Linked DNA regions of Oreochromis niloticus. The protein of the gene in region 2 interacts with the protein of the main gene of each other region in a pairwise test. Links are inferred from orthologs where the notes say so. Each region holds a gene or a part of one and is shown on either strand. Other genes may lie near its edges. The genes, in order: leng1, mid2, ccdc120b and top3b.

What was found.
Region 1: the proteins of mid2 (region 2) and leng1 interact in binary tests that used the Homo sapiens proteins (3 or more experiments, as listed by UniProt). The two-hybrid records come from large-scale screens. The link is inferred for Oreochromis niloticus from reciprocal best matches to the Homo sapiens genes MID2 and LENG1.
Region 3: the proteins of mid2 (region 2) and ccdc120b interact in binary tests that used the Homo sapiens proteins (3 or more experiments, as listed by UniProt). The link is inferred for Oreochromis niloticus from reciprocal best matches to the Homo sapiens genes MID2 and CCDC120.
Region 4: the proteins of mid2 (region 2) and top3b interact in binary tests that used the Homo sapiens proteins (3 or more experiments, as listed by UniProt). The two-hybrid records come from large-scale screens. The link is inferred for Oreochromis niloticus from reciprocal best matches to the Homo sapiens genes MID2 and TOP3B.

Annotation. Positions count from the first base shown.
Region 1 is NC_031976.2:22,042,226-22,050,220, reverse strand, and holds the start of leng1 (leukocyte receptor cluster member 1), read left to right. Parts: upstream 1-4,814; 5' UTR 4,815-4,931; exon of another isoform or gene 4,932-5,032; intron 5,033-5,239; 5' UTR 5,240-5,280; coding exon 5,281-5,412; intron 5,413-7,834; coding exon 7,835-7,995.
Region 2 is NC_031966.2:21,470,136-21,478,503, reverse strand, and holds the start of mid2 (probable E3 ubiquitin-protein ligase MID2), read left to right. Parts: upstream 1-4,909; 5' UTR 4,910-5,373; intron 5,374-8,368. UniProt on the Homo sapiens protein: E3 ubiquitin ligase that plays a role in microtubule stabilization. Mediates the 'Lys-48'-linked polyubiquitination of LRRK2 to drive its localization to microtubules and its proteasomal degradation in neurons.
Region 3 is NC_031970.2:31,353,523-31,361,725, forward strand, and holds the start of ccdc120b (coiled-coil domain-containing protein 120), read left to right. Parts: upstream 1-4,913; 5' UTR 4,914-5,436; intron 5,437-8,203. UniProt on the Homo sapiens protein: Centriolar protein required for centriole subdistal appendage assembly and microtubule anchoring in interphase cells. Together with CCDC68, cooperate with subdistal appendage components ODF2, NIN and CEP170 for hierarchical subdistal appendage assembly.
Region 4 is NC_031977.2:3,673,013-3,680,859, forward strand, and holds the start of top3b (DNA topoisomerase 3-beta-1), read left to right. Parts: upstream 1-4,391; 5' UTR 4,392-4,576; coding exon 4,577-4,646; intron 4,647-7,847. UniProt on the Homo sapiens protein: Releases the supercoiling and torsional tension of DNA introduced during the DNA replication and transcription by transiently cleaving and rejoining one strand of the DNA duplex.

The DNA.
Region 1 (7,995 bases), on a different chromosome or scaffold from region 2:
GATTACCGGGGTTTAAACGACATCACTGTCAAGAATAAATACCCCCTCCCGCTAATCAACTCTGTTTTCCAGTCGCTCCAGGAAGCCACGGTTTTTACTAAGCTGGACCTGCGGAATGCCTATCATCTGGTTCGAATACGAGAAGGTGACGAATGGAAAACCGCATTCAATACTCCATTAGGGCACTTTGAATATTTAGTGATGCCGTTTGGTTTAACTAACGCCCCGGCGGTTTTCCAAGCCCTGGTCAATGACGTGTTACGGGATTTCCTGAACGTGTTTGTTTTTGTGTATCTGGATGATATCCTGGTTTTTTCCAAAACGCTTGAGGAGCATCACGTCCATGTGAGGAGCGTACTACAGCGGCTGCTCGAGAACAGACTGTATGTCAAGGCAGAGAAGTGTGAGTTCCACACTGCATCCATTTCCTTCTTGGGCTACGTCCTAGCAGGTGGGCAGGTGAAGACCGACCCAGTGAAGGTCAAGGCGGTCCTAGAGTGGCCGGTCCCGGAGTCACGGAAGAAGCTCCAAAGCTTTCTCGGGTTTGCGAACTTTTATCGCCGCTTCATCCGGAATTACAGCCAAGTGGCCACGCCTCTCACCCAGCTCACCTCATCTAAGGTACCTTTCACCTGGTCTCCAGAGGCCCACGCGGCCTTCGTTAAGTTAAAGCACTTATTCACATCCGCACCTATTCTAACCCATCCCGACTCCTCTAAACAGTTTATCGTTGAGGTTGACGCGTCTGATGCTGGAGTTGGAGCAGTTCTCTCCCAGCGATCCGGGCCTCAAAACAAACTCCGGCCGTGCGCCTACTTCTCGCGCCGACTCACCCCCACGGAGAAGAACTACGACATCGGCGACAGGGAACTCTTGGCTATTAAACTCGCCTTAGAAGAATGGCGCCACTGGCTGGAGGGGGCTAAACAGCCCTTCCTCATATGGACAGATCATAAGAATCTAACGTACCTGAGAACTGCCAAGAGATTAAATCCACGCCAAGCCCGCTGGTCTCTGTTCTTCGCTCGCTTTAACTTCACTCTCTCCTATCGTCCAGGGTCACGGAACATCAAGCCCGATGCGCTCTCCCGTCTATATACCTCCGACGATGAAGCGTTCTCTCCCGCCACCGTCCTACCCGCCGCCTGCGTGGTGGGCACTCTCACCTGGGAAATCGAGGAGACCATTCGCCGAGCTCTCCCGGAGGACCCTGATCCAGGTACCGGTCCACTTGGGCGGCGCTTCGTTCCCGCTGCCGCCCGTGGGGCGGTCATCCACTGGATCCATACCGCACGATTCACGTGCCACCCAGGCGTGAGTAGAACGATACACCTCCTCAGAAGACACTTCTGGTGGAAGTCACTAATAAGGGACGTGAGAGCTTACGTGTCTGCTTGTGCCGTCTGCGCTCGTAATAAATCTTCCACCAAGCACCCCGTAGGTCAGCTCCACCCGCTCACTACACCCCACCGGCCATGGTCTCACATCTCCCTAGACTTTGTTACCGGTCTCCCTACCTCCTCCGGGAAATGTGTAGTCCTCACCGTTGTGGATAGATTTTCTAAGGCCGCTCATTTCATCCCGCTGACAAAGCTGCCTTCGGCCGCGGAGACAGCCCAAACATTAATCACTGATGTTTTCAGACTCCACGGAATCCCCCTTGAAATCGTCTCCGATCGGGGGCCCCAGTTCTCCTCACAAGTGTGGAAGACCTTCTGCTCCATTCTAGGCGCTAGGGTCAATCTGAGCTCCGGTTTCCACCCGCAGTCCAACGGACAGACCGAACGTCTAAACCAGGAGCTGGAGACTATGCTAAGGTGTGTAGCCAGTCAAAATCCCTCCTCTTGGGCCACTTACCTGCCTTGGGTGGAGTACGCCCATAACACTCTCACCTCGTCCTCCACCGGGTTATCCCCATTCGAAGCGTCCCTCGGTTATCAGCCTCCGCTCTTTCCAGAAGAGGAACTAGCCCTCTCCGTCCCGTCAGCTCCACATCACCTCCGGCGCTGTCAACGGGTGTGGCGCAGCGTGCGCCGGGCCCTCCTGCGCGCGAAGGAACGGCACGCGCACTATGCCGATCGCCGCCGTGCCCCGGCCCCTGAATATCGTCCGGGACAAAAGGTCTGGTTGGCAGCTGGAAACATCCCGCTTCGGGGCTCGTCTCGAAAACTGGCACCCCGCTTTATTGGACCGTACGAGGTGGACCGAGTCATCAACCCGGTGGCAGTCAGGCTCCGACTTCCGGCCTCTTGGCGGGTGCATCCCACGTTCCATGTCTCTCAGATTAAACCGGTCCGCCGCAGTCCTCTGTGCCCGCCTCCCGAGCCCCCTCCTCCCGCACGGCTCGTCGGCGGCCATCCTGCCTATGCGGTCCGACGGATCCTGGATGCGCGCCGGCGCGGACGGGGTTGGCAGTATCTCGTGGACTGGGAGGGGTACGGCCCGAGGACCGCCTCTGGGTCCCGCGCTCCTTCATTCTGGATCCCCGTCTCATCTCTGCCTTCCATGCTTCTCTCCGCAGGCAGCAGTCCGGCCGGCCGCCTGGGGGCGACCCTTGAGGGGGGGTACTGTCATGGTCCGCGGCCCGGCGTCCGAGGAGCTGATGCGATGCTCACGCCCACGGGCGTGGCTGTTAACTCTACACCTGCATCTCATCCCAGGCGATTATCAGGTGGACTACTTGATCCAGCCCAGCCTGCTGCTCCACGCCAGTCCGTAATCGTCTCACAGCGGTAACGTATGCCTACAGGGAAGCGATTGTGAAAACCCTCATTTGTCTGCATGAGCGCTGATTTCTCCCTGTGCACTCAGATAACTGCTCGGCGTGTTTTTGAGCCACCTGCCTGTCCACCTGCCCGCCTGGAGTTTTTTGATCACCTTCAGTATCCCTCACTTTGCCTTCCCTGGAGCTCCCCGCGGACCTTCACCCCTCCCTCCGGCTCTCACGGCCCCGCTTTGACTGTAAGACTCAAACTCTCCCTCACGTGTGCCGCTTTTCCCCGCATCCCAGTAATTCTTCTCTTTTTCTGTTGCAGCCTCCCTCAGTCCCGTTTTCGGCGTTCCTGCGCGACTCTTCTCCCGGTGCCTTGGTTTCTCTAGTTTCACGTGTGTTTTCCTTAACCCTCCCGGGACACCTTTAGTTAGAATAAAGTTTATTTTCTCGTACTCCTGCGTGTGTGTTGGCTCTGCTTCTGGGTTCAGCTTGTGCACTGAACTTCGGTTCATGACAATCACGGTTTTAAGTCACGGATCGGATCAATTTTCGGATCAGCAAAAATAGAAAAAAAAAAAAAAAAGACAAAAATTCGACTCGCCATTTACTTATTTAAGTATTTTTTGCCTATTAAAAAACATTCAGCTGAAGACTCATTCCACGCACTTATATAAAAACAACTTAAGGTGCAATATGGACATTATGGACCATGCTGAGCATCCTCTGCATCCTCTGCACACGGCCATAAACAACCAGAGGAGTCTGTTCAGTGAGAGGTTGCTTCTCCCAGAGTCAATGACCAGCAGATTTAAAAAGTCCTTTGTCCCACACGCCATCAAACTGTCTAACTCCTGGCTGGAGGGGAGCAACAGTTTTTGTTAATATCCAACGGTGTAATAGACTCACGATACTTGAAATGTGCCGTTCCCTTGTATTCTTATTCCTATTTATTCTATTTATCCCTTTTGTATTCTCTGTATTTATATATGTCTTTGTATTTATATGTGTGTATATATGGTATATTTCTGCTCACATTCTGCAACTTCTGTCGGTGCTGTGCAACTGGAAACTGAATTTCCCGGAGGAACCGACCCGAGGGATAAATAAAGTTTCATCTAATCTAGTGTACTACCACTCCGCTGTGATATAACGAGCGGTCACGGTCACGTGACTTTCCGTTGCCCTGGAGGTCCACCCATTTGTAGTTAGAGCAACAGAAGATCCCTGAGACAGTTCAGCCATAACTTTAAACTTCTCCTGCTCATACATGCTTGGAACGATCTTGTCACTGAAGTGGACGCGCAACGGGATATCATAGCGTGGCTCAAGCACGTTCATCACAGTTTAAACCCCTTGTTTTGCACAACGGAATACGGCCTCCCGTCTGCAGCTAAACACCCCAGTAGCTTTTGCAATAGCTTTAGCCCGGTCGGATTGGGCAGCAAAGGGCTGCTTAAATGCCGCAAACTCCTCTGCTCCGCCACTTGGACCGCTAGCGCTGGCCATAACTACCGCTTGACAGACTGACCACGCGCACCATACACATATTTATTTTTTTCTTTTTCGAATCTTCGGATCACGTGCGTGCCGAACCGTGGCGTGGGATCGGTTCGGATTTCAGATCAACCGTGATCCGTTGCACCACTAGTCATTAGGCTTCACTTTTAAACAGTAAGTTAAATGGTTTCCTGATTCTCACATGGACTTGGTTTACAGGAGAGCAAACAGTTCCTGATCAAGCAGACTGAGAGCCCGAGTCGGCAAGCTCACATACCGACACATCATGCAGGAGTACAAGACTGAACACGACATATGGGCAAGGATTTACTGTCTTGAAAACAACATAATAAGACTTGTTTTTATGTTTATAATTTAATGCAGGCTAGGTTTTACCACACACGTCTGCACGAAGATAATTGTATTAAAAGTTGTGATTTTTTTTTAAAGGAATACATAAAGAAGGAGAATTAAAACTTGATCGTTATTAGAGTATAGCATTTCCACTATGTAAATAGATTAGTGCCTTTTATGTCTGTCCTTCAAAGCAGATATTTTTTTCTTTACATAATAAAATAAAATGAGAAACATAACAGCCCCCTCTGCTGTCGCCATTGTGTTATTGCTTCAACATGGAGCTACTGTTTACTTCCTGTTTGGGTCTGCCTGTTCCTATGAGCTCCTGCTACCTGTCCAACAAGAGAAATTCTTCACTCAGCAAGTTGGTGACAACGCCTGGGCCCTGTTTTAGAAAGTAAAATGTTAAAAACATTGCTAAATTTGTGGAAATGTGATATCTCTGCGTGGTGCTGAGTCCTTAAGGTAAAGTAGAGGTGGAAAGTAGAAAACATCGGCTAACATTAGCTCGTTAGCTCTGCCTCTCGGGAGGTCAAAGCTGCAAATATAAAGTTTGTTTTTGTATATTTATATACGTTTCCGCTTTGGGACATTGACGCACTTAGTTCCACAACTAGCGGTTTTACTTTGGGGAACTTATTCACGTTTTCCTTCCACTTTTGCCGCTGCTAGCCGACTGCTAACCTACAGTAGTAACAGTCGCCAAGGGAACAATGAACATCCTTCCGAAGAAGAGCTGGCATGTCCGCAACAAAGACAACGTCGCTCGAGTGCGGAGGGACGAGGCCCAGGCAGCAGAGGAGGAGCGCGAGGCCAAGCGTCGCGTGGAGCGCGCGGAGCAAGAGGTGACTCCGGATGGATGACCGTGGCGTGCTGTTACTGTACCCTACCTGGTGCTCTGTTTCCCCTTGTAGTCTGAGCAGGATACCTCAAATTTAAACCAGATATGATCAGAAGCAAGGTTACTAACTTGAACAACTTAAAAAAACGTACTCATTTATAATAACAGTGTGCAGTAAATGTCCTTTTTCAGTAGAGCCTACCTGAGACGCTCTTAGTCCAACCCTAGTTACAAAAAAGTTAGAATACTGTGTAAAGTGTAGCTTTTTAAGTCAAGTAAACCTAAACCTAAATGTACCTTGAAGCACTGATGGTACCTTTCCAGATGTGCAAGCTTCCAGTTCCATAGGCACTAATGCACAAGTTGTACCTTGAGAAACAGTTTTCTACTGTGCGTCAGTCCATTTTGAATAGGCTTTGGCCCAGAGAAGGCAGCGTTTTTACTGCACTGCTGCCTGTGATGCCAAAAATCACAGGCATCTAGTATTGGTATTCAAAGTCTTTGTAATTTTACATTGAATAGCTTTATGCTGAAATTGGTACACAACTTGTAGACACAGTTTTTGCATACCCAATAATGTTACTGAGCGGTTGGCAGTTAATTTTGCAAAAATTACTGCAAAATATTCCTCTAGCTGTTTCCTTTTAGTTAAGCTTACTTTTCCAGCCTTTTGTTACCACTGTCCCAACTTTTTGAGATTTGTTGCTGCCAACAAAATCACTTAAAACATTGGTTATGTTTTCAGTTGTGATTAAGAATTTCATAATACAAATTAATGCATTCTCTTTTTAATTTACATTTTATACAATAAATAAATATCTAGAATATTAAAGCTTTTTTATAGCGGGATGCAAAAATAAATATATTAAAAAGGCAGACTTTTTTTTTTAAATCAAATGTATTACAGAAAAGTTACCCCAAAAAGTAATGTCAGTACTGTACATTAAAGTAAAGTAAAGTAAAGTAAAGTAAAGGACAGGAAACGTGAGATGACATTGAAGTAGCTCAGTATCACAGGGTGTAAAATGTAGCGGGCCGGAATAAAATGTTATCATGCGAGAACAGATTGTTCTTTGCTACACTTATGTATTGCATTGCAGAGATTATTAGGGTTTTACTGTATTTAAAGAAGCTTTGAGCCCATCAGTGAAGGTTTTTTGTCATCCACTGTGACTAAAAAATATTTTTAACCATTTCATTTAACTTACTAAAGCTTAAAATACATTTTTGTTGATCAAATAGACAAGATGTATTGGAAAACATATAGAACTTTGATACGTAACGTAACCCAGATGTCCAGAACCCCTTAAAAGGCCCACACTGATACAGGAAACACCCTGTTTTTATGAAACAACAGAGTGAAAGCAGACTAAATATTAGCAACCACTTATGCATTATGATAGGTAGAGTATATGAGCATCAGATACTGTCCTTGTTGACTGCTGATTAGCATTGTTACTCTGATGTGTCAGCTAACTTTTGTGCTGACTTAATGTTCAAACAGTGTAGTGATCTTTTCTTTATTTCACCTGCAAAAAAAGGTGGATAGTTAATGGTAAAAATATGTAATATACTAATTACAAAAAAACAAAACAAGTTGTTATTATAAACATCAGTTTTGGTCCAGAGTTTTGCAGTCACTGCATCCCTAATAGATCTCTCACTAGAATCCAGAACAAAATCACTTCAAACCAAAGCTGTATTCAAAGCAACTTAAGATTGGTTTGATAAACATTACAATTTCTAACCTTCTTGATGAGAACATTTATTACAGGACTTCAAAAATACCATGGAAAGATGCCCACAGAATAAACCTTGAGATAGTGTTTATCAGTATTGCAGAGTAAAAATTCGTGAGTGTGTTGTATTGTGATATCATACAGCCCCAATCTAGTACATCTATAAACTTCCTCACCGATACATAAAGCATAAAGCTCACATGTGGCACTAAAATGACTGTAAATGGTGTTTTTGGTTGCAATCATCCTTGAAAGTCACACTGTGTACTCGACACTGTGTAAATATTTAATCACTGAACAGGTTTATTTGTGTGAAATACTGCATTACTAATGTGCAAGAGCTGTTCAAATTGCAGTTCTGATGGTATAATTTCACATAATTTCAGATCTTTGAATTACTCAGTGTTTTTTCAGTGCACGCCTATCCTTTACAATTGTAAAAAACAACACATTTACTGTTGTATGATGTCTTTTGTTAATATTTAAAAAAAAACCCCACACACCTGGAAATCAATGCTAACATTTCCTATGTGTTACTATTCAGACTGCTGTAAATGTGCTGTACGTCTCTAAATTGGCACCAGTAGAAAACTTAAGTATTTATGATTTGAGCTTAGTTTATTCTTATGAAGGTTAAATAAGCTTTGCTGTGCCCATGAATGTCCTTTAATTGTTGTTTGTTTACAGGCACGTACAGAGTATCTGAGAAGGAAAGCCCGAGCTGCTCTTCAGTCAACAGGAGGAAGCAGAGATGATGGTGATGAGGAACAGGGTGGAGGAAGTGGAGCTCTGGAGCATCTCAATCTTTTCCCCCTGGAGGAGTCCTCGGAGAAGAAGGGGAATGAGGA
Region 2 (8,368 bases):
TATAACCATAAACAAAGACAGTCTTTGAAACTTTATCCGTGGTTTCTTTTTTCATAGTCTCTGGTTTTCCACTACATATCCAAGCACAGTTATTTCAAGTGTTATCACACGGCTACAATACCTTGACCTTCTGTTCATTATTCTATCTTATTATGGACAAAATATGTATTTTTATTTCATTAATTTTTAAGCATGGTGAATTTCTTATTTGAATAATGTATTTAAACACATTTTATCAGATTTTTATCAGACAGTTAGAGATGCACTGATGACCAAAGCTTTTGTCTTTTTCATTTCTTTTTATTTTCTTCTGCTAATCTACAGAGTAGCACAGCTGAGACATAACGGCTCAAGCAGACCTTGCAGAGTAAAAGCTCAGCCTGCAACCACCTGCAAGCTGACGTCTTGCTGTTTAGACCCTCATAATCCACTATGATTGCAGGATTTTATTTGTGGCTGCGCTGCAGTGTGAGAGAACCGAGGGGTCAGTGAGCTGAAAGACAGCAGCTGGCAGCTACTTACATTTATATGGATCCTTAAAATCCCAGACAGTTGCACAGCAAAACAGCCAAATCCTCAGAGCTCCTCAACAAAAGAAATGTTTTGTAAACTTTAAGTACATGCACTACTGCAGAGCAAAGATTTAGTCACTGGCATAGTTACATAATAAGCATTATGCAGTCCTTGGAAGTTCTTGTTGCTTTCTTCTCAGGGCATGCAGTACTGATTAGAAATGATAAATAATGTAGTTCATTTTGTTTTATTTTCAGCTAGTATTTAAAAAAAACTTAAAGCTATTAATTACAACTTCCCACATTTAAAAAAAATCATAGAAACATAATTATTTTTTGTAATACTCTTTGTTATCTTGTAACTAACAAAAGCTGTCTTTGAGTAGAGACTTTCATATGATTTGATTTCTTATGGTTGATTTTAGAGGTACAATACATAAAAAATATGAATATACAATATAGAAAATCAATACAGTCATCTCAGAGCCACTATTCTGTGACAACAAAGGTGCAGCCCCGATAAAATCTCGCCACTGGAGTTTCGTGTAGTTCAACATATAATCCAAAGAGAAGATAGCACTGACTGATTAAGATTTTTTTATCCGTGCACCTTTAAGCCTAGACCTCTAGCCATATTATCATTTCTGCTTCCACTTCCTTGTACATGGCTTGTGATGTCCTTGCCACCAGCATCATGTAGACACCTGTAGATTTGGTGCTCACAGGTCTATAGGCTTCTACATGATTAGTGAATATGTATCCTCTTAGTAGATCACCATGCAGGGTGGTTGTTGATGATCCCTGTGCTGTAGCAGTGTCCCCCGATGGCAGATTGCATACATCAGTTGCTTGTCTATGTGACACTTCTACTAAAACACCATCTTTACCTGCGAGGCACTACTTATTCCTCTCACATTTGACACAATGCAAACTAGACACCTGCAATGACTCACTATCACCTCTTGAGATATGACGGTATAACAAGACAGGACAGAGCCAAGGTTATCCTGTTAGTATGCTCACTTCAATAGATATCCCTGCAACACAACACACAGAAGCCTTTGACGTGATGTCAGAAGGGTTTCAAATTATGATGATTACATTGTTTATTTTTATGGAACATTTAAACATGGAAATCTTACTTGTTTTACCATTAAACCCATGTGTACTCCAGAAAAATTTAAAAGTGGGTCATTTGTTAGTGCCAAAACTTAATTAAGTATCCCATAGTGTCCCATCTGTACCCAGCCTCATTAATTATTACTTTTCCCCAGCCTCGGTTATCCCTTTTCAGTTAACTATTCATAAGCCCTGTAATGATTAACAATATGTTTTGGGTTAATCTCTTTGTAAGGGAAGAGATTTTTTTTAGAGCTAATGCAAAATTCTTCAGCTGAGTGTGTTATTAAATACTTTTATTGACCTCCACAGTTCAGAATTACTGAGGTCTGATGTTGTATTGACAGAATTTTTCTTTTTCATTTCAAACTGTGAAGCTCTAACGAAGGCCCAGACTCACCAACGAATCTCTCTACCTTTTTGTTGTATATTTTAGTATTTCTTTCTAACTCCTGAGGAAAATGATCAACAAAATCTCAGTGTTCATCAAATAAAAGCAGACCGTTTCAGTTCATGTAGCACTTATTGCTGAAGCTAATTTGTTGACCTTGTTATTTGCTTGGCTTTTAAGAAATTATAATGCAAACATACAAAAAAAGTATAAAAAACATAAAACAAAAGCACAGCAAGCAGTGAAATGACAGAAAATACTAAACCTGGAAACATACCAAGAGTGAATGAAAATGGATGGATGGATGGATGGATGGATGGATGGATGGATGGATGGATGATGGATGGATGACATTTTAGTGCATCTGCTGCTCAGTCATTGGTTGGTCTTTTCTCACATACTGTACTTACACACAGACATACTTAGCAAAGCTTCCCTGTCTAAATGTGCCATGTGTATTCTATCCATGGACATTAAACAGTGTTTTTCTCTTTTAACTTTGCAGAATTGGTTCTGTGTTCCTTTGACCAGTGATGGTAGTGTCGCACAGTCTGCCTCTGATCTTCATGCACATTTCAAACAAAAACGAAACAAAAAACAAAAAATGTCCACTTATAAAAGGATTAATCCAGAATGCTAACCATGACCACAAACCCCACAAGGTGGCTTTAAAGGCTGTTTTTTGTGCTCACAGGTGTAGGTTCATAAGTTCCAATGCACCCATTGTTAGTATCACAAAAGACATGCTGGCTCTGAACATATCAATGGAGGATTTGGGGCATTGTCAGTTTGGTTTTTATGTAGGATGAGATGAGTGTCCTTGCAAGAGAAATTGACAGACATCCTTCACTTTTAAATCCTGCCTTTTGTGACAATACAAAATGAGCCAACCACTGCAGTGTAAAGTGTAAGTTCTAATAAGACTGTTTTTGGGGCTGTGGGATGTTGGAACAGGAAAATAGCAAACTTATTTGTTTGAGCCAGATGACATTCGTCATAAAAGACCAAAGTGAAATGTGAAAGTTTGCCATTTCACACAAGCTATTCCTCATTTCGAGAAGGTTAAACTGATAAACGTACTTCTTTGACAGGTTTACTCATGTGGAAAATGTGTCACTTTGCAGACTGGGTGACACTGAAAGATAATAAAAAATTTATTTCTTGAAAAATAAAATCTATTTTATATGTGTGTGTAACAACTATGTTAAAGTCATCTATCACTGTGTACTAATACACCTTATACTTTCAGCTGGAATCTGTCTGTACAGCAATAGCATGTTCAGAAGCGAACAAACAGTCTTACAGGCCTGCATGCCAGCACAGATATCCACCTGCGAGCTTTGATATTCAGTCCAATGGACCAGCTGAGACCTGGAGTTACAGTTTATCAACCTAATCCATAAGCATATGTGTAAGGTGTGAGGGGTCCTGTGCACCCCTTTGCTTTTAAAACCTGTCTTACAACCACTCAGCAGACTGAGAGGGCCAGTGCTGGTTTTGCTTTTCGTGGGTGGAAGGTACAGAGAAACAAGGACTACCTATCAGTTTTCTCCTTAGGATGAAGTTGTCCTTCTCGTCTCTATTGAATACCGAGCTTGTCACAGAGGAACTAATTAACATGGCAACTTGTACGGCCGTGCAGTTCTTCCACCATTCAGTCTGTATCCCATTTGCATTTGAGAGCTGTTTGAAGGCAGTAATTCAGCAGAAAAATCCTTGTTTCTCTTCAGAACACCCACATTAGCTCACCTACAGAATTGGAAGCTCCTTTCAACTTCAGGCTCATGATGTACACATTTTAACGCTAGCACATTTTCTAGCTTTCTAAATGTTTATTTAGCTAAAAAAAAAAAAAAAAAAAAAACCCTCATCACTGAATCCCCATGCAAACATCATACTCTTCTGTCAGCTTCAAACATCTAACTAAAGCCTATGACTATCAAAATTTAATAATTCTTACAGTTATTACAGTTTGAGGACCAAAAGCTGAGAATTCATTTGCAATAAAAACCTCTGAAAATCAGTGTTATTAAAGCATGAGACTTAGAAATGAAAGATTTTATTTAAATTAAACACACACAAAAAAAATAGAATTCAGAAGAAGAAAAAAACAATCTACAAACTGGTGACAAAGGAATAACCCCTCGACCTTTATACCGAGAGGAATCGTTGGCTCTGGTGTGTTATAGAGCATTTTCTGGGTCCACGTGACCCCTAAGATTGAAGAATATATATATAAATCATGACAAATGATGGGAGTGGCGCCCACTAGGATGACAGTGCCCCCATCCATAAGACATGAGCGGTCGATAAATGGTGTGGTATAAAAATAATATGGAAATGTAAAATATGGCTGTTATCACCGCCTCTCAAACCAATTAACGCTAATGATGACTCTAACAACTCTTACACTTGGTTGTAAAAGTTGTTAAACTCTGATTGGTGCCTGGGAGTAGTGACATCATTACTGACTTAGATTACAAATTATGTATATGTCTGTATGAAAAGAAGGAAAACAGTCTGGATTGTGGAATAACCCCAAAGAGTTATCCTGACAAAATTATTGTTAATATCATTTTACACTGATTAATGGTACAACCTACATATGTGATTCTAATTTGTTCATTTTTATTAAGCAACATTTAAATATTTTTTATCTTAATAAATATAATTTATCTACACACATTTGAGTTACCATCTATAAGAAAACTTTCATATAATTATATCTGCTGTGGGAAATAAAGAATTGCCACCGCGATGTCAGCTAAACAGCAATTTAATGTCTTAATAACGGGCCAAGGAGACAGGTGTATTATATTAACAGATCCAAATTGCTAAGGTGAAGACAAATGACAGCGACACCGTGAGGTCACAGGGGATGGGAAAATGGTAGGAGGAGGAGTATGGGTGCGCACAGCTCGGGTTCTTTGAACGGGCACTAAAGCAGCGGTGTAACCGATCCCAGCTGCTACTGTGTGGGGAATTGAGAGCTATTCCCGTCCCCCGTACGTTGATCACGTGTCCTTAGGGGACGTTTGCTTTGGGGATCACTTTGGGAGGTAAAGGCAGCGCACCGGTGCGCGTATCCAATTTGGAGAGAAACATCCTTAATAATCGTAATGATCCACCGGAGGATCAACCGGATCACTTTTGTTTCGGGGCGTTGTCATACACCCTGTACAGTGGCTTGCTTTACACAGATCAGTAAGGAACTGGCACTCTTTGTGTGATCCGTGACTCACTGACTTGTCAAAACTTCTGCGCTTACGAGCCGCGATCTTTACTGCGAGCATCACATTGCTGCCATCTCCTGCAACGAGTCGACGTACGGAGCTGTCACTGCGAGCCGAGGTAGGCTGTGCTTCCTTTATGTGTGTTTTTTTTGGCGGAATAGCGAGAGTAACATGCACAAGAGGGCACACACTGGCTAGGAGCATGAGTTAGTTTGTGGAAGGCACACGCTGTGCAGTATTGTGGGTTCCAGGGTTGCAACAGTGTAATGATCCATGTCAAACGATACAGTAAGTGTATGACGAGCTCTTATCTGTGTACAGAAACATGCAGCATGAAGACGTGTGTAAATGTGTGCCTAATATTCTGCTTCGAAAAAGACGGTGAGAAAAAACAAAAACAAATGCGCTCTGGTACGTCTGTGGTGGGTCAGGGACTTAATACATGTGTTTAATGTTCACAGTGGCCTGCAAATTTATTCTCAAAAGTTTTTAAGAGTGCTAAAATTTCTGCACTCCTGTTGATGATGTTGCTGTTGAATATTCTGAATGAACTCTTACTTTTGGAGTGGATTATTTTAAAGACTGGTGAACATGCTTTAGCCTTTATGAACTCATCAGTTTAGCCATTGTGTACCACAACACCAGCCACAACATTAAAACCACTACTACAGCTGAAGCGTATGACACTCATCATCCAACTACAATGATGTGCTCTCCTGGGAAATCTTGGTTTCTGGCATTTATGTGGATGTTATTTTTGATATGTACCCACCTAAACATTGGAAAACAAGACATGTTTCATGACAATGGCGCTCCCAGATGGCAACAGCCTCCCCCAGTGGAACACTTGCACCCCACCACACCACAAAAACTGTTCAGGAACGATTCTAGGAATGCGACAGAGAGCTCGAGGTTTTGACCCGGCCTCCAAACTGCCAGATCCCAGTACAATAAAGCATTTACAGGATGCCCAGAACAAGCCTGCTTCTCTGAGACTCCACTCTGAAACCAGCAGGAGGCAAATGATCCACTTCTAATGTCCTGGTGCTTTTTCCACACATGCCCATGTCTCAATCAGTTGCAGCTGTTTTAGCAGCACAAGGGGGACTTGCACCACACTGGGCAGGTGGTTTTAAGTTTAAGGATGACTGATGTAGGAAAACAGGGACTAACCTGAGCTGACTCCCAGCCACGCCCTGCTGCTGTCAACCAAAGCAGCAGGAAGAGAGGCATTTTCTCATTTCCCCCCCAGAGAGATTAAAAGGAGATTTTTCAGAATACATATAAAAGTAGATTTTCTGAACAATCGCAGGAACACCAGTTGTCAAGTCTTAAATGCGTTTTAATTTTATGTAATGAAAATTCCATGTTATTAAATAAAAATGCCAAACTAGTCCAGTAGAAGGCACAAACCAATGTAGTCACCACAAACCTGCTAATAAATGTAATATGAATCCTGCAGAGTCCCTGTTGTGATATTAGATTGTCAGCCTGGTTATTGTGGAGACAGTGCTGCAGGTGACTGTAGAGGGACTCTGGCTTTGCCTTCAGAAAAGTGTAAAATGTCAGCTCCTTATCAATAATGCAGCACACCAAAAACAGTGGGGAGTAAGAAAATGGAACCCACTGTTAGAGACGGTTACCTAGTGCTTCATCATTATTCACATAATTGAATAACAAATACTTTATCAAAATCCACTTGGAGTAATTACCAGCAATGCAAATATTTCCATTCTAATCCTAATACACAACCAAAACAAACCCGTATGATGAGCTGTAATGTGCCATATCTTGTCATGCTGATCACCAGTGAAACAAATTTAATGTCTATTACAATTTTTTTTAAAAACGGTGGTTCACCATCTTATAAAAATGATTTATTTCCCTGCTCTCTTACTGCCTGTCTTGTTAATGCATGATCACTGTGGTTAATGAGACAGGTCTCAGTGCATGGGGACTGACAGTTTCAGAAACTGCACTGCTAGTTGGGTGAATACAACTGACACCCTCATTCATCATGCATCCACGGGGTGCTGCTTGCTCTCCTAGTCTATCCACGCTGCGCTTCTCTCCCCTTGTCTTAGTCGAGTCTCGAGTTGCACCCTCAGATGATAATTATTAAGACATTATACTGATGACAATAGCAGAGTTTTTTTTTCTGTAAAAGAGACAGGGAGTCAGCTTCTACGTGCTGGGATGATTATAACTGTGAAAGAGGGTTGGCGTTCGTTGTCGAGGTTGCAGCTGCAACGATTTCCAAGAATAGATGTAAATGCCAACTGTACAGTAGTGTACCTGTTTGACTCTGTTACTGGCAGCCAGTAGCTAATTGCGGACTAGCCAGAAAATCAAAAGCTGACTTGTCAAATATCGTTTTTTTTAAGAATCTGTGATATTACATTAGATAAATGAATATCAAGACGTTTTTTCCCCACACTTTTCTAACTAAATAAATGAAAACAAGTCTACATTCTTTTATGCTGTGCTTCATCAGTGGTTAAAATATGTTACCTGACCTGAAGCAATAATATAAAAGTACAATTATGAAAGCATTATTAATCTCGCTAATCCCGATGGCATGCCATGGTGCAATTTTAAAATGTAAGAGATGTAATTAACCCACATTTACCATAATTACTGAAGCCTTGACTAAACTTTGTAAGCTTGCATATTGCAGTATCTCTTAGATTTACTGTATTAAACTTTGATGCTCGGGAAAATCGAATGAAAATAGCGGATACGTGAATCCCAGTTTTGTGCACTTGTCTGCTGCAGCAGCTACAGCCCTTGAATGTTACTGTTCACAATCACTGTTTGCATAGGGAGGTTCTCTGTACATGTAAATCAGCTTATCCCCATAGAGCAATTAGGCAGAAAGGATATACAGCATGGGGATGTTTTTACTGAAGTCTGTCTGTCAACACACTGATGCCTGAATGGGTCTGAATAATCCATATCTTTAAGAGTCCACTTGGCTATCACAGGGACTGTCTTAACAGCAAGAGAGTCGGTGTGTTGTTTTGCTTGAAGTTGTTTGAGGATTGCAGCTCCAGCTTCCCATGGAAAAAAGGCTTTCTTGTGAAGTGGTGGCTTTTTAATGTGTATTTTTGTGG
Region 3 (8,203 bases), on a different chromosome or scaffold from region 2:
CAATATGTTTGCTCGTCTCCATTACAGTTTAATCATTGAAAATTACACTGATCAGCATACTATGTGGAAGTTACAGATTACATAATGGCAAAAGCATTCTGTCAGACCCCTCACCATCACCAGTCTGTGAATGTGTGTGTGAATGGGTGGATGACTGGATATGTAAAGCGCTTTGGGGTCCTTAGGGACTATTAAAGCGCTATATAAATACAGGCCATTTTACCATTTACCATCTTTATATACCACAGTGTTTAATAATTCAATACACAGGCTAAAAAAACCCCTTTAAAACAATAGACTGTAAATAAAAGATGGCACCAAATAGTTTTTAGCAAATTGAATTCTTAAATTTAGCTTCACAACCATCAATATCTTTGTTTGTTCTTATTTATTTTTTAAATTTCTTTTAGCCATAAGTGAGCATATTTGGACAAAAAGTTAGAGTGCTGAATTGTAGTTAGCCCCCGCAAGATGTGCTGGCATGGTGTATGAACTGTATGGATGTGTACAACAGACACAGCTAGCTGCTAAGTAGTACAAAGTAACAGTTTAATAATGTTAAATTATGTAAAATTCACCCACATACAGTTGTAATGAAAGCTAAAATTAGATATAGAGGGGTTTTTTTTGGGGGGGGGGTGTTATTTATTTAATTATTTAACCAGACTTTAACATTTGGGTGTTTTAACATGAGATTCTGTGGGATCTCGCTTGTTTTATGAGCCAGCCTCAAATAGCAACTTGAGGAACTACAATGTGCGGAGTTTCTTTGTGGGCTCCCCAGAGGCTGCTACCCGATACCTCACATAATCTCCATTAGCAGCGTCAGAGGTTTCCTGTAGCTGCAGACTTCTGCAAAGGATTCATTTCTGTCCACAGATGGTTTCAGTTTATTAATAATAAACTGTGTTGTTGGACTCTGACACAATTTGATGTGCAGGTGTGGGCTGGGTGTAGTTTAATATTTATAATTTTGCAGTGAGTTAAAGACTAAGGCGTCACTCTCATGAGACCAACTTTGTCAATACAGGAGCAGCAAAACAGATGGGATGCAGAGAGAGCACAAAGTGGCAGAGAAGCTACAAAGCAAGTTGTTGAAGAAGAGAAAGATGAGTTGCCCATGGTAAGTGTCCTGCTGAGGCTACCCCCGCCCCCCACAGGCAATCATATGCGTATGTATTTTTATTCGTTTGTTGTCTGCAGATTACACAGATCTTCAGTTTGGCTGATAACCCAGTTGGGACTGGTGCAGATGCAGAAAACCACCTCATGAAACTACTAGACTCTTTACGCTCCTCTGTACTGCCCATATTGTGGTATGCTATAATGGTGGAGGGCCCGCAGCTGCAGCTCATCCAGTGTTCTAAGCAGTCCAGCATGACCGACACCATGGTGCTAATCGACCCGGGCTTCTTCTATCAGGTCACCGTCCAAAAGCAACCGCTGCTCCCCACCCACCCGCTGTACGACTGCTACCCAGCACGTCTAACCTCGGTGACTGAGGTGGTTAATTTGCTTTTTGGGTCTGGAGAAGTACTCTGTGTGCCAGGGGGATGCCTCCCAAAGAACCATTACATTATAAAGACCCCATCATACTGGAACGGTCATCAACATGTGATTTCCTGGTTAAGAAGAATGTGGGCATTTGTAATAACTGCAGAGCACTTCAACTTTAACGTCATCACAGACAGAAATGGAAAATAAATGTGAGCAGAGTGGAGACCACTGGTTTTCTAGTGACACTTTGTGCAATTTTATTTTATTTTTTGGTGATGATGTATATCAAAACTTTACAGACTTACCTCTGGACTGTAAATGGTTTATTTTAAGAATCACCAAAGGCATTTCAGGAGTTGTGACATTATAATCCAGGCGTGTTTCTTCTCAGACGTTTTATTATGTAGGTGTAGGGCTTTTCTACTTGACTGTTATGTGTCTTGGCTTTGGCAGTGTGCTGAAGTCAGCCCTCTGTGTGGTTAGTGTGCTGTTGGTTGATTCACACTCTTACTTGAGGAATATCCCTCACCCTCCTTACCACTATTACACATTTTAGTAGCCCTTTCAGACAACTGTACTACTAGAAAATTAGCCCACGTGTTTGATTCCCAGCATTAACACTGTTGTCATGCTACCGGGTTCGTTCATACTATATACAACAAAGTTAATAGAAGATTTGTTTTGGTAAAAACAAGTGTGCACCTCAACTGCTTTCTTTTTTAATTTAATAATATATTCATTAGTGTCATCACTGTTGTCACTAACACTCCATTTATTAGCACTCCATTTATTTGCATTTTTGCATTTGCTCCCAGTGATGATACTAAGGCTGGAAAAATGTGAGGGAATTAGAAAGGGTACCCGGTGGCAAATCAGATGTGTTGATCCATCTGATGTGGTGACCACTTGGGAAATAAGGGAGCTGCCAAAGGTACCTTTCTATTAGAACTAGTTATTTAAATTGAATTATGTGATTATTTCAAATTCATGACCATTCATACTGGATTGTAATGATGACATGTTGATTCTGGGCTGAAATTACAAGCATTTTTTAAATATCTTAATCTGATTGCAAAGTAGACTATCATTTGATTAGCTCTCCCACTGAAGGCAGAATGTGCTCCTAGCATCAGCATGTGTGGTGTGATGAATTTCATACGACCTTTAAAAATGCATTGAAGTTGTCCCATGACAGGAAAAAAAGTACAATTACCTTTTGAGGTTTGTTCTCATAAATAACTAACTTTAATCTCAAAACTTTTTTTTTTTAAACAGCTGTTGGGTAGGTCAGCTTTTTTGTAAACCTAACCTACCCTCCTTTTTTGCTTTCATAGGGTGAGTTTTTGTTATCATATTGCATCAGAAATATCTGAAAAGTGGGAAATATATCATCACAAACTGACCTAGTATGGATATTATGCTAAATTTGTATTCACCCCATTACTATGACAGTCTAAAGTCATTTGAGCAGAACCCACAAGCTATAAGTAGGAGCAAGCCACTGTTTTAAAAAATATCCAAGACATCTGAGATAGTAGTGATTTTCCAGAACATACAGTGACATTACTGGTCAAATATTTAATTGAATATTCCCCAAATAAAGAGACAGTGTGGATGGTTATGCAAAGTAAGTATAAGTAACACTTAAAAAAAGGTACCTTTGTGTAATCCTATGTTGGGGTTGTTGTACTTGTAATTTCTCTCAATTTTAGCCCAATTTGATGTCTAGTGAGAATATTTCACACTATATCTACTGAAAACTTTATTCAATGACCCGGTATTTAGACTTGACACTAAAAACATTGTAACACCTTTTAAGATCTCAAACAAAACAAAAAAAACAGATGAAGATGAATGTAGTTAAACATTCCTCACAAATCTCAAGCTAAAACCCAGCGACAGGATTACAGTTGTTGTGACTGGCACCATGTTAGCTGAGAACAGTAAACTTTCCTTAAAGGTTTAGTTTCGGTTTTTCGAGGTTTTTATTGTTTTTAGAACAACATGCTCTTGTCAAAGTGATGATGTAGCAACAATCATCGTACAGATGACTCTGAAATAATAATATCTGAAATAATAATAAGCACTTAATGAGTCTTCTTCTGTCTCTGTTCTCGAGTAGTATAACACTTGGCCTTTAATTGTATTTTCAGCCATATAATGTGTTTTGTTTTTGTTTTTTAAGTGTATAATAATTCAGTTTTTACCCCCCATTACAAACAACCTCCTGCAAGTTTTAACAATGTGAAATTTTATGCATTCTTGATGTGATTTTTTTTTTAAATGTTGTTTTCCTCAAGTAATTGTGCATATGTTGAAATATTTGGGAACAGTGGGTTATTCCTTTAAAAAATATTGTTATTTAGTCTTTGAATTAAAACATATTTGAAGAACTGACACTGGTTTTCCTCATTTCTGGTCATTTTTGTCTTTGAGTATGTAATGTTTGGTGATAATGTTAGAATATTTTGTATTATTTTACAATTGATCAAATGTGTCCAAATCATCAACTGAGTAGAATTAATTGACTTAAACTTTATATGCAGTAACATCAATTTATGTGGTTGCTGTCTGCTAATTATTGAGTTTATGGTTGAGTCAGTGGAACACACAGCCTAAAGAAAACATATAGCCTATAAAGCTAAGCAAGTCTTAAACATACTTTGATCAGTTAATATAAATCAGACTCTAGAGAGAGTTGATATACATTTGACAAGAAGCAGACTTGACTGCAACAGTGTGATGTTCAGAGTTCAGCTGTGCCTTTAACAAGCAGTTATCACTTTGTCGGTTTTGTTGATCGTTCTCATGAGCGGTCAAAAGCTTTGCTATGAATTCTCTTTTCAAAAAAAGATGCTCCAGCTTGTCCTGTACTGAACAACATAATCAAGGAGGAATCAAAGTGCTGTACTTAGGAACTTTCTGACGTAAAACTGGCCCTTTAACCACAACTTTCAGTTTCTCCTCTATGATGTGTTGCCAGGGCTTTAGTGCAGCTGTTGTTTGAGAATCTCTCGCCTTTAACTTTGTCTTCAGAGAGTGAAATGTGTGCTTCAGTCGGTTGGTAACAGGTGTTTAACTTGCCCTCTTTAAAAAGTCCTTTTTTGTGTGGAGCCACTTTTTTCTCCCGTTATTTGGTGATGTGTTAAAAAATATTTTAATTTGTATAAAGCCGTTTCTGTATCGGATACACTTCTTAATACTTACAGTGAATTTTCTTAAAACATTTGAAGCCCTGAAATTAGTCCAATATTAATCCAATCCGAAACATTAAAAAGTCAGCACTTTAAATGAATTTGAATGCGTTTTTTTACACCAATATACATATACCAATACACGTTTATTACTATTGAAGTTATTGAATTAAGGATGGAAGAACGCAATTAACTTCCCATTAAAAAGCCATGTTGGGCTGCTATAATTTTGTATGGTGCGGTCCAATTTAACTCTGACATAGAAAGCAGTAAAACTAAAACGACTATTTTAGTTTTTTGAGTTGAACGTATCAGTTTTTAAATCTGGAAAAAGTCTCTTGGGGGTTTGGGGAGGGTTACCTTGCTGCACATGAATCCACGCTACTGTGCAACACCTGGGTCATATTCGTATTAGCGGATCGAGTGGCGCACATTGAAGGCATGTACCATCTGGGGAGGGGCATCGTCGCTGTGGTCGTGGTGGAGTCAGCTGGCTGTGTGAAAGAGAGCGTTTTCATGCCGTGCAGAAAGCAGGTCTGTTGAGATGCGCAGAGCTCCGACGCAGCGGAGGTCGCGAGGCTGCTGGTGAATTACAATTGGGATAGTGAAGCATCATGAACGGGCAGCTCTTTTCCGTGGATCTCCGCACATTTTGCCAATAAAAACAAGCAGGAATGATTTTCCTCCCCCTGCTTTCGCTCCAGAGAACCATGGAGACCTCGCAAGGCATCAGTCATGCTCTCTGGTAAGAGGGGATTCTGCTCCAAGATGTCCTTTTCCATCCTAAATGGGCGTATTAATTAATAGCTACCAGTACGGCTTTTAAAAATGATATATTTTCTCTATAAAATGAAATGCATCGGCCTAAACGCGAGTCCGCAAGACGTCCTCGCATCTGTTCACGCATTTAGCTCGTGTGAAAAGACGTTTGTCATCGTGGCGGGCTGTGACACACCTGCGATGTGTTATCGCTTCCATAATGAGTCCGGTGCGTTTCATTATCAGCCGGTGCGCCGCCGTCTGCAACGGCTATGCAGATGCGGGGATCAGCGCAGACTGGATGTGCGAACGCGTGCTTTATGTTGAGCCAAATCACATGTCCGTACGATGAATGCGAGGACCGCATCAAGTGAGAGCCTCGCGTTTGTGTACGCGTTGTGCCAGAAAACAGTGCAACGGGTCGTTTGTGTGGCACGCTCGTCAGGAGGCAGGGGGTGGCAGAACTGCAAGAACGTCTCAAATTCAATTTTTAAAGGAGTGAAAATGTGTGCCAAGCTTCCCGGGAATGCATAACTTCTCCCCTGTTGCTGCATTGTTATGAAGCAAAAAAACAGACCCGAACATCTTGTTACTGCCGTCTCCTGGGCCTTATTGCTTCTCTCCTCTCATTTATTAATACTGCTCGGTCACATGCAGCAGCGTTAAGCTCCTATTATTAACAGATCCCTGAGCGAGCCTGTCCGCCAGGATCCCTTTTGGTGGGGTGGGCTCGTAAAAATGTGTTGGTGCCTTTTACAGTGAGTCACTGTACTCCACCTTTTCGCGTTTCTGGGAAACACCTCTGTTTTTTACTAGAGGGTTTTCCTTTGAAGCCTTATGCTCATTGCTCCTATTTTATTTACAGTTGTTAGTGCAGGGAACACCAGGACATTTACAAGCAAAGGGGTTGGTGTGCTGGGAGACCATTCTCATGCTCAGTTTCCTCTTGATCACAGGGATTAGGATGAAACCAGTCATGTTAGTGTTTCTGTTCACCCGTACAGTACAAAGCACTCCCTTTGGCCTTTGTGTTTCAGTACAGTTCAGTCACATTCCATGGAAGTGGACTTTGACCCAGATAGCTTTGTCACAGTTGCATTTTTTTAATACTTACATTTTTTAACTGGTTGCATCAAGGTTACACTATTTTTTTCCTTCCTTTTAAATGATCCCCTTAAGACATGGGCTGACACAAATTTGAACATGTGGTTCTGTAGTTGGTGAATGACAAAACATGCAGGTAAAGTACAGTGTGAAAAGAAACACTGGCTGCTTGATCTGATTCTAGTCATTTCACTACTTCTTACTAGCACAAAGACATAGAGTTGCAATGAGAAACATTTAGCTTCATCTAAAGTATCTTGTTGCTAGAACCAGGGAATAAAGTCTGATCAAGCGACTGTAGTACTACAGATGGGGGAGCATATTCACCTACTTTTCTTCAAAACACAAAACAATCAGATCAAGGTCCTTTTGTGTGTAAATATTGAATGTAATGGCGTGGCTGCTGTGGCTGCACTTCATAAGTCTGAGCGAAACAAAAGCACTGAACTCTTTCCAGAATCAGCAAAGTGGATTACAGCAAGCCACAGAGCATAAAAACAGCTTTGGACATACAGAAATCCCTCCAGGTGTTACAGAGCAAAGGAAAAATGTATAGCAATAATCCCCTCGGACATTAGAGTCACATTCCTTTCTTTATTACTCCACCCTCCTCTCCTCCAACCTCAGCTTAGCGGAATCCAGGTGGATAGCAGTCACTGGGCTTTGCTTTGTTTTGCCTGTGGTAGTTGTGTCAAATGTAGAAAGGTGAGCATCAAGGCCCGGGGAGGGAGAGAGGACGAGCTATACGATTGGTCAGCCTTGGCTAAGCTGCCCTGCCTTGTGCTGATAAGTGCATTATAAATCAGTATTTCATGGATATAGAGAGCAAAACGAAGAGATCACATTGGTGCGCGGGGTTGGTTGGAGGGTCACCTGACCCCTGCATAAGCCCTCCATCCACAGTTGTAGGGGTTGCCCAGGTGGAGGCAGCTCTGAATCAGCCGTATGTCTGACCTTGTCCAATCTCTTGTTCGTTGAATCATAAATTACATCTTCCTCCTTCTTACATTTCTACTCCCATCCTCACCAGCAAATCTCACCAATGGCTCTACAGTGTCCTTGGGGTCTGATAGTCAATGTTTGGGAGTTGCATTACTGTTCTCCTATAGATTAGATCAGTATGGCTTTAGACATGGAGAAATGCTGTCCTGGTACACCAGTGAAAGCAGTGAGGTACTACTTTGTAACAACTGACACAGACAGTGGTGCAAACTGTAGTTTTTAACTGTCTGCTGCCTATTAACTTCTCAGGAACCAGCGTGGGATCCTCATGCTAGCCTAACAGGAGCTGTGTAGTCGTAACCCTCCTCTGGTTCACATGTGTAAGTTGACAACAGCAGCAGCTGTGTCAACACCAGCGGTCAACATGAGGGCCGCTGGCCTCACCTGCCCATAGCTAGCTGGAGGTGAGGTTTCAGCTGCTCCTTTATACCACAGCTGCCTGTTGAAAGAGACCAATAAACCTGCTGTGCAGCATATGGTGGTGCTGCAAAAGCTCCTGCCGCACCGTATTAAGACATGCAGTTTTAAGTCTTGAATATGTGTATTATAAATTCTCAATAATAGTGTTTCCTGTTCCCAGGACTCTTGGGCCACATGAAAGCTGACAGTAGAGAGAGAGTGAATCTGTTTAAGAGCCAAGAGCCATC
Region 4 (7,847 bases), on a different chromosome or scaffold from region 2:
GTTGGGCGCGAGCTCTGGAGTACCTGGACGCGAGCTGCAGGGACTTGACGTCGGAGAGCCAGAGCCTGATCGCGCTGCGGTTCACCCACTGTCACCTGAGCAGCTCAGGCAGGGATTTCCCAGCATGCCCTGAGGGGTCAGAGGTCAGCAGGTGTACAGCTGGCATGGACACAGTGGCGTTTAACAGCTACACAGAGTTCTTCACACAAATGCAATTGTTCATTGCATTTGTCATAAATTGTTCAGATGAAGTGAAACATAAGACAGAGAAAATCAAAATAATAGTGAAAGGGGCAGAGAGGTTCTTTGGTATTAAAGACATATCGTGGGAGAACATTAATAAAAGACTTAGAGGGGAAGGGACAGTGGAAGGATCAGGGGAGAGGACAATATGATTATTTTACAGTGGAATGCTAGAAGTTTGATTGCAAACGGTCAAGAGTTTAAAGGATTTATTGAAAAATGCAAAAAGAAACCAGATATAATCTGTGTACAGGAGCCATGGCTGAAGCCCAATTTGGATTTTGTTATCAAAGGATATGTTGGGGTTTGGAGGGATAGGAAGGATGGTAATGGAGGAGGTTGTGTGACAATTACAGAGAATAGAGACTTATTGGATATGGTGGAGGATATGGATGATCTGGTGAATATGCCTTTTACTAAGTCAGAGTTACATTGAGTGCTCCGGAAATATAAGTTATCAGAGCCAGGGAAAGATCGGGTGTGCTACATTGTGATAAACCATCTTAGTGAGTCAGCAAAAGAGCAGTTAGTGGAGTTGTATAATAGGGTTTGGGAAGGTGGGAAGCTGCCACAAAGTTGGAAAGAGGCTGTGGTGGTGCCTATACACTGAAAAAAGAGCATGTTAGATTTATTTAATTCAATAGTGGACATTGGTTGCACACAGATGTTTTGCTTTGGCAGAAACTTAAACAACGGAGTTAAATCAATTAAACCAGAATACCCAGAGAGAAACCACTGCAAACTAGCCAGATTGCAGATTTGAGCCTAGGACCTTCTTGCTGTGAGGCAACGGCACTAACCACCACGCCACAAACCCAATGATTTGGATGCCTGATGCAGAATTTTTTGTACGTTTTTGTCCTTGACAGGTTAAACCACAATAAATAGCGATAGCATACACGTGGTGTGTGTGTAGTTGTCTGCCTCTTATAACTCCAATGATTTTCCTGCAGTTTGAAATCTCATGTGATCATGTGAATTTCATAAGTCCACCAGCTAAGCACTCTTACTAGATTGTATCATGTCATCTCAACGAGAACACATTAAGTTGTTGAATTTCATACAGATCCTACATAATTTAATTACGTTCACCATAGAAACATGAAATTATTTTGATCAAATTACAAGTTAGACTTTTGTAAATGTAACAACCACCCAATTTCCTTTTTTTCGGTATACCGAAAAAAGTAGAGGCGGTGGCTCGACTTGACTGAGATGGATGCCTTCCTCAAACCACGATCCAAAATGCGCGAGACGAAATCACGTGCGGTGTCACGAGATTTAACATTGCTATATTATTGACTTACTTCACTTGAACGTGATATGAACAATTTAATATACCCTCTCTGCATATCATGTAGTTTCTACACTATATAATTACACTTAACTTTAAAGCACGAGGCAATTGTGTTAAATACACGCAAGATGCTTACATAAGTCCAAGAGATGGCCAGTCCGTTTTTTTCAGTGTACGTAAGCCAGGGAGGAATGGTACCAAGCCAGGTAATTATAGAGTGATAGCTTTAACATCACATATTTGTAAAGTTATGGAGAGAATGACAAATGAGAGATTAATATATTATGTAGAAAGTAGAGGGTTTATATCTAAATATCAAAGTGGATTTAAAAGAGGGAGAAGTACTATGGATCCAGTATTGTGTTTGGAGCATGAAATTAGGAGGGCTCAAATAAATAAAGAGTGTGTGGTGGCAGTGTTTTTCAATATAGAGAAAGCTTATGATATGATGTGGAAAGAAGGTTTGTTGATTAAAATCCGTAAATTGGGTATTAGGGGTGGATGTATAGGTGGATTTTGGATTTTTAAAAGGGTAGGCAAATACAAGTGAGAATTGGAAAGAATTATTCAGAGAGATTTTCTGTAGAGAACAGGACTCCTCAGGGGAGCATAGTGAGTCCTTTGGTATTTTCTCTAATGATTAATGATTTGTTTAATGACATAGAGGGTGGGGTGGGATGTTCACGTTTTGCTGATGACGGAGCCTTATGGAGAAGAGGGAGGAATGTAGGTTTTATTGTAAAGAAGTTGCAGGAAGCAGTTGGTAAAGTTGAATAATGGTCGTATAAGTGGGGATTCAAATTTTCAGTTGATAAGACTAAGACTGTTTTTTTGTTTGTTTTTTTTACAAAGAAAAGGGTTAGTGAGGAAGTTAAGCTGAAGCTAGATGGCGTAGAATTAGAAAGAGTGAGGAAGTTTAAATTTCTGGATTTGTGAGAAGGTAACCTGGGGTGCACGCATTCAGGAATTGGTGGGTAAGTGTAAAAAAGTTTTGAATATTTTGAGGTGTTTGTTTGGGAAGGATTGGGGAGCGGATATAGAATCCTTGAGGGCCATATACACTGGGTTGGTGAGGTCAGTGTTAGATTATGGTTGTGTGGCATATAATTCGGCAGCAGACACTACTCTTGGGAAGTTAGATTTTATTCAGTATCAGGTGTTGAGACTTTGTACAGGGGCATTTAAAACAACTCCTACTGTAGCCTTGCAGGTGGAGATGGGGGAAATGCCACTAGGGTTGAGGAGGGGACAGCTTAGATTGACTTATTGGGCAAACTTACAGGGTCAGGGGAAGGATCACCATACACTAAAAGTACTTAAACCTTGCTGGGAGAAAGGCAGGAGGGAATTAAAGAGCTTTGGATGGGTGGTGGGGGGAAGAGCTAGAGAACTTAAATTGGATCAGTTTGACATATGTCAGCGAGTGCCGTGGCGTGCAATCCCTCCATGGATACTTCCTGAAGCAGCTGTGGATTTTGCATTATTGCACCAGAAGAGTAAGGATAGGGCAGGCGGTCTAGACTCAAATTCAGTTCAGGGTTACATTGAACAGTATTTTGGGTATGTTCAAGTATATACGGATGCTTCAAAGAATCCAGCTAGTCAAGTGGGGGTAGCAGTAGTAATTCTGGACTTTATGGTAGAAATTAAGAGGATTAATGATGGATTGTGTTACATCCTGTGAGTGTGTGGGCGTGGTGTTGTTCTCTCCCTCCATTTCTTGGTTTGGCCTGTCGGGTTCATTGCTAATAGCAGTGTTGCTGTCTTTTTCTGTTAAATCCTTATAGTTGTTTTCTTAGTTGAAGCGGTCACCATCTCTTTGGGTTGGCCTGTCTAATTTATCATCAAAGCAGCGTTGCTGTCTCTTTCTGTTGTTACTGTTTATATGATTATTGGGTTAATTAATTATAATAAAGATTTATTTTGTGTTAAACACCTCTGCCTGGCGTCCTTTTCATTTCAACCCGGATCCAACTGTTATTGTCCCCCACCCTCTTCGCCTAGCTTTCATGTGGGGACGTAACAGATTGTCTGTGTTTACAGGAGAAATCATAGCAATTCTATTAGCGGTTCACAGGGTGGAAGAGTTGAGGCCATTGAAAGCAATTATTTGTTCAGATTCAAGAGCAGTCTTGGTCAGTCTACAGAGTGGTCATTCGGAAGGTAGATCAGATATTTTTAATAGAGATTCAGCAAACTCTTTTCAGAATACATATGATGGGTCTGTCAGTAGTGTTTGTATGGGTCCCGGCTCACTATGGCGTAAGGGGGAATGAAGCAGCAGATAGGTTAGCAAAGGAAACCACTAATTGATCTGGCGGTGAGTTTTGGTCTGGTGGAAATGAGGGGTAGATGGCAGAAACAGTGGGAAGAAGAAAGGAGGGGAAGGTGGTTATATAAAATTCAAAGGGGGTGGGAGTAAGGAGTGCCACAGGAAAGAGTAGGCGAGAGGAGGTGGTGGTGTCAAGACTGAAATTTGGACATACAGGATTGAATTCTACACTGTTCTTGATAGGGAAACATATTTCAGGGAAATGTGGAGAGGAGGAAACTTTGGAGCATGTTATTTTGCAGTGTCAGAAGTATAAGGTAGAGAGGAGACAACTGGTCCAAAGTCTCAGTAACATTAACATGAAATTGGATCTTATTAAGTTATTGCAAAAGGAGTCGGGGAATAAATGTGATCAGGCTTTGTCTCAGTTTTTGAGAGAAGGAAGATTGTTTGGAAGTATATGAAGTAGGTTTTTTTTTTTTTGAGCGTGATTCCTGTCCACACTCCATGCCAGTGGTGGCGGTAATGCACCATGCAGTTGTTTGCCAACCGCTACTTAAAAGAAGAAGAAGAAGAAGGAGAAGAAGAAGGAGAAGAAAAGGCCATGACGTGCACCGGAAGTAGATCTCGTATCGTAGAAGGCGCCATGGCCACTGTAGTAGTTTCTCACATAGCCTATTAACCGGTGAGAAGCGGAGCACAGGTCAGTGTCTCCTTTTGATAAAATTGGGACAGGAAGCGACAGCTGAGGGAACCTGCTCATCATGAGAAGTGTGCTGATGGTAGCGGAGAAGCCGTCCTTGGCTCAGGCCATTGCCAAAATCCTTTCTAAAGGTGGGTACAGAGTAAAAGCTGTGTCGATCAGTACGCAGTGAAAGTATGGTGGAGCCGAAATGAAATTGAATAGCTTTGATCAGCTGACCTTTTGGCGGTTGATTGGTTTTTGTTTTGGTTTGTTGTTTGTTTGTTTGTTTGTTTTTATTAGAAAATTAAGATTTCTTCGATCTGGGCAGTCAGCATATATAAGCCTAGCTGGGCTTCTAGTCTTAATTAGAATGATCCAAATGATGATCCCAGGGTTGGACTTGTTAGTTTGTTTCCTGTGTTTGCCTGTACTGCTAAATGACATATTATGTACAATAGTTAAAGCAGTACTGGTTTTTAGACACTCTTGTACTGGATCTTGAATTAAACAGGAAAGTGTTGTGATAACTGTCAAAACACTACACATGGGCACAGAATTGACACCGTATAATGTAAAGTGTCTCAGATTGCTTTAATGAGCTGTTAACAGGTGTGTAATAAGTGATAACCTTTTTAGTGTCTTCTGGAAAACAAGCACAATGAGTGAAATGGGCTATTTCTCAGTAATACCGATGTGAAGACTATAATTTGTCTAAACAGTGGATGTTGGTGAAGTTCTCCAGTGGCCTAAGTTGACCATAGCATGCTCTCTTGTGTTCAGCTGTGTCTGGAGATGGCACATATACATGCCACAGTGATGAGCTCAAACTCCAGAGAGTAGCTGGCTGAGGGGAAGCAGCTGGGGTTCTTCTTGAGGACTGGCATCCTCAGGGATACAGGGATGGTCTCTAAACCAAATTCACTCTCAAGTCCCCTGCAGGAGTGGCCGGTGTGGCAGCTGGCCTCATGGATGACCTGAGGCACCCGGTTCAAGTCAATGTTTTCCCTGGTGAGAGATAAAGAGTAGGCCTATGAATCTGGATTTAGGCTTATCTGGATTTTCTGTACTATGAAGGTGGTTCACTTCTTACTGAGGTAATTCACCATGGTAACTTATGCTGTGAACTAGGGGTGCAACGATACACAAAATTCACGGTTCGGTTCGGTTCGATACTTTGGTGTCACGGTTCGATATTTTTTCGATACAAAAAAATGTTCATGCCTTTTTAATTTGTCATTTATTAAAATTATAAATATATATTTTAACTCAAAAGTATAGTTTTTAAATGTAATGTTGCTGAAACAACAAAATAATAATAATAAAAAAAAATCTATCTGATCCAGAAATCACTCATCTTTGGAAAAGAGAGTTTATTACAGAGAAATGGCTCTTTCCAAAATAAAAGCTATACTATACGCTTCTTCTGGGGTACATTCTCAGCAGCATATTAAACATATCAGGTCCCCATAAGGAGAATCACGTGCTAACGGCTGTCTAAATGACTCGGGTAAAGTTTGTAGCATGCGTGCTTGTTGTTTTTGTCTGCTTCCACTTGTCTTTGCACTAGGATGATGTCGGCGTAAATGTGCAGTCATATTCGTTGTGTTCTCACTAGTGCTGTCAGCGTTAATCTCGTTAAAATGACATTAATGCCATAACGCCGCAAATCTCCGTTAACGAGTTACTGCGGATTGCCCCGTGTGTGGGGCTGGACGGCATCAACACGTTAACGAGCTAACTGTGCTAACGCACTAGTTCCCACCAATGTAATTGAGCATTGCGTGGCACATCCGACATACTGTTTTACTTTTGTCCATGACGCGCTTACCATCAGGGTCATGCTTCACATGGAAACCAAAATAGTTCCAAACGCCAGATCTGAAAGAGGGTGGGGGTGGTTCAATTTCGGGTAGCGTTGAGGCAGTTGCCATGTTGCAACGAGCTTAACTTCTGTCTCGCTAGCTTGCAATGCGCTCAGTGGATCTCCGCTCAACAGTGCAGCCTAGGCGGAGTAGTCGAACGCAGATCCACTGAGCTCTCAATACAGACAGCATCGTCAGAAGAAAAGTTGATAAAATAAATTAAAAATTTTGTATTGTTCGATACATATGCGTACCGAACCGAAAGCACTGTATCGAACGGTTCAATACCAACACGAGTATTGTTGCACCCCTACTGTGAACTTAACCTGCTCTGGAGCAGGTTAAATTCCAGATTAGAAATCACCACCTACTGGCCAATCAGTTCTTCAGAAAATAGCATCAGCATCCCTGGAAGAGTAGGAAGGTGTTAAGTTTTTTAACATTGTCTAATGTCTTTGTTTCCCCATTGAGCATCAGTAACTCAGACTCACAGGCATACGCATACCACAGCTGTTCTGCAAATATTTGTTTTTTTCATTTGTTATTCTTGAGTTTAGACATTTAAAATACGTAATTCCACTCTTCTAGTGATTTAAGGAATAGCAGACTTCATTATTCATTCAGAAATTTTCTGATGCTAATTTTTCTTTTGTCATTAATCAGCTTTTTTCTGTGAGCCAGTAAGCTTTATTGTTTAAGTGGATTGAGTTTAAAGATCTAATTTATAGGGCTGCAGCTATTGGATATTTTAGTAATAGAGTAATCTATCGATTATTCCATCAATGAATCAGATAAGAATAACTTTGGTTTGTTATTAATGAGCATTAATAAATATTCAAAAGAGAAGAAAAACACAGTTCTTTAAGAATGAACTACTCATTGGTTTCCATTCCATTGCAGTGTTTAAAGGTTTAACTGTACAACAACATCTCTAAATTGAAATCTTATTTTTTTTTTTTTTTTTTAAGAAAGCATTATCTTAAATGCAAAAATACATAAATAATCTCAAGTACAGACAAAGGTCAAAGTCAAATAAAATAAGATATACAATTGAAACTAAGGCATAAAAAATTTACCTTTAGTCTGTCTTCTTGGAATAGGAGGCAAGTTTTTGTGCTGCTGAAAACAGATGTTATGGTGGTGTAGACATTATTATTAATATCAATTACTGTCCAACCTAACAACCTTCAGCTCATGGCTCAGAGTTTAATGGCTCATTGGCTTGTGAAAAGTGTGGAGTTAAAAAAAAATATTTTTTATTGTAAAAATTAAAATATTTGATTAATACAATATTTTGTATTATTTCACTTTCGATCTGAAAAATGTTACGAAGGCCTCAAATCAATATGATGTAGTACACCCCATGCCCCCCGTTTAGACTCACACCTGTTTGCTGCAGGTATCGCTTCCATGTACAAAATGATGTGCTGTCGTCAGCCTTCAGCATACCATATAATTTAAATATGGTATCAGACTATCTAAGTGTTC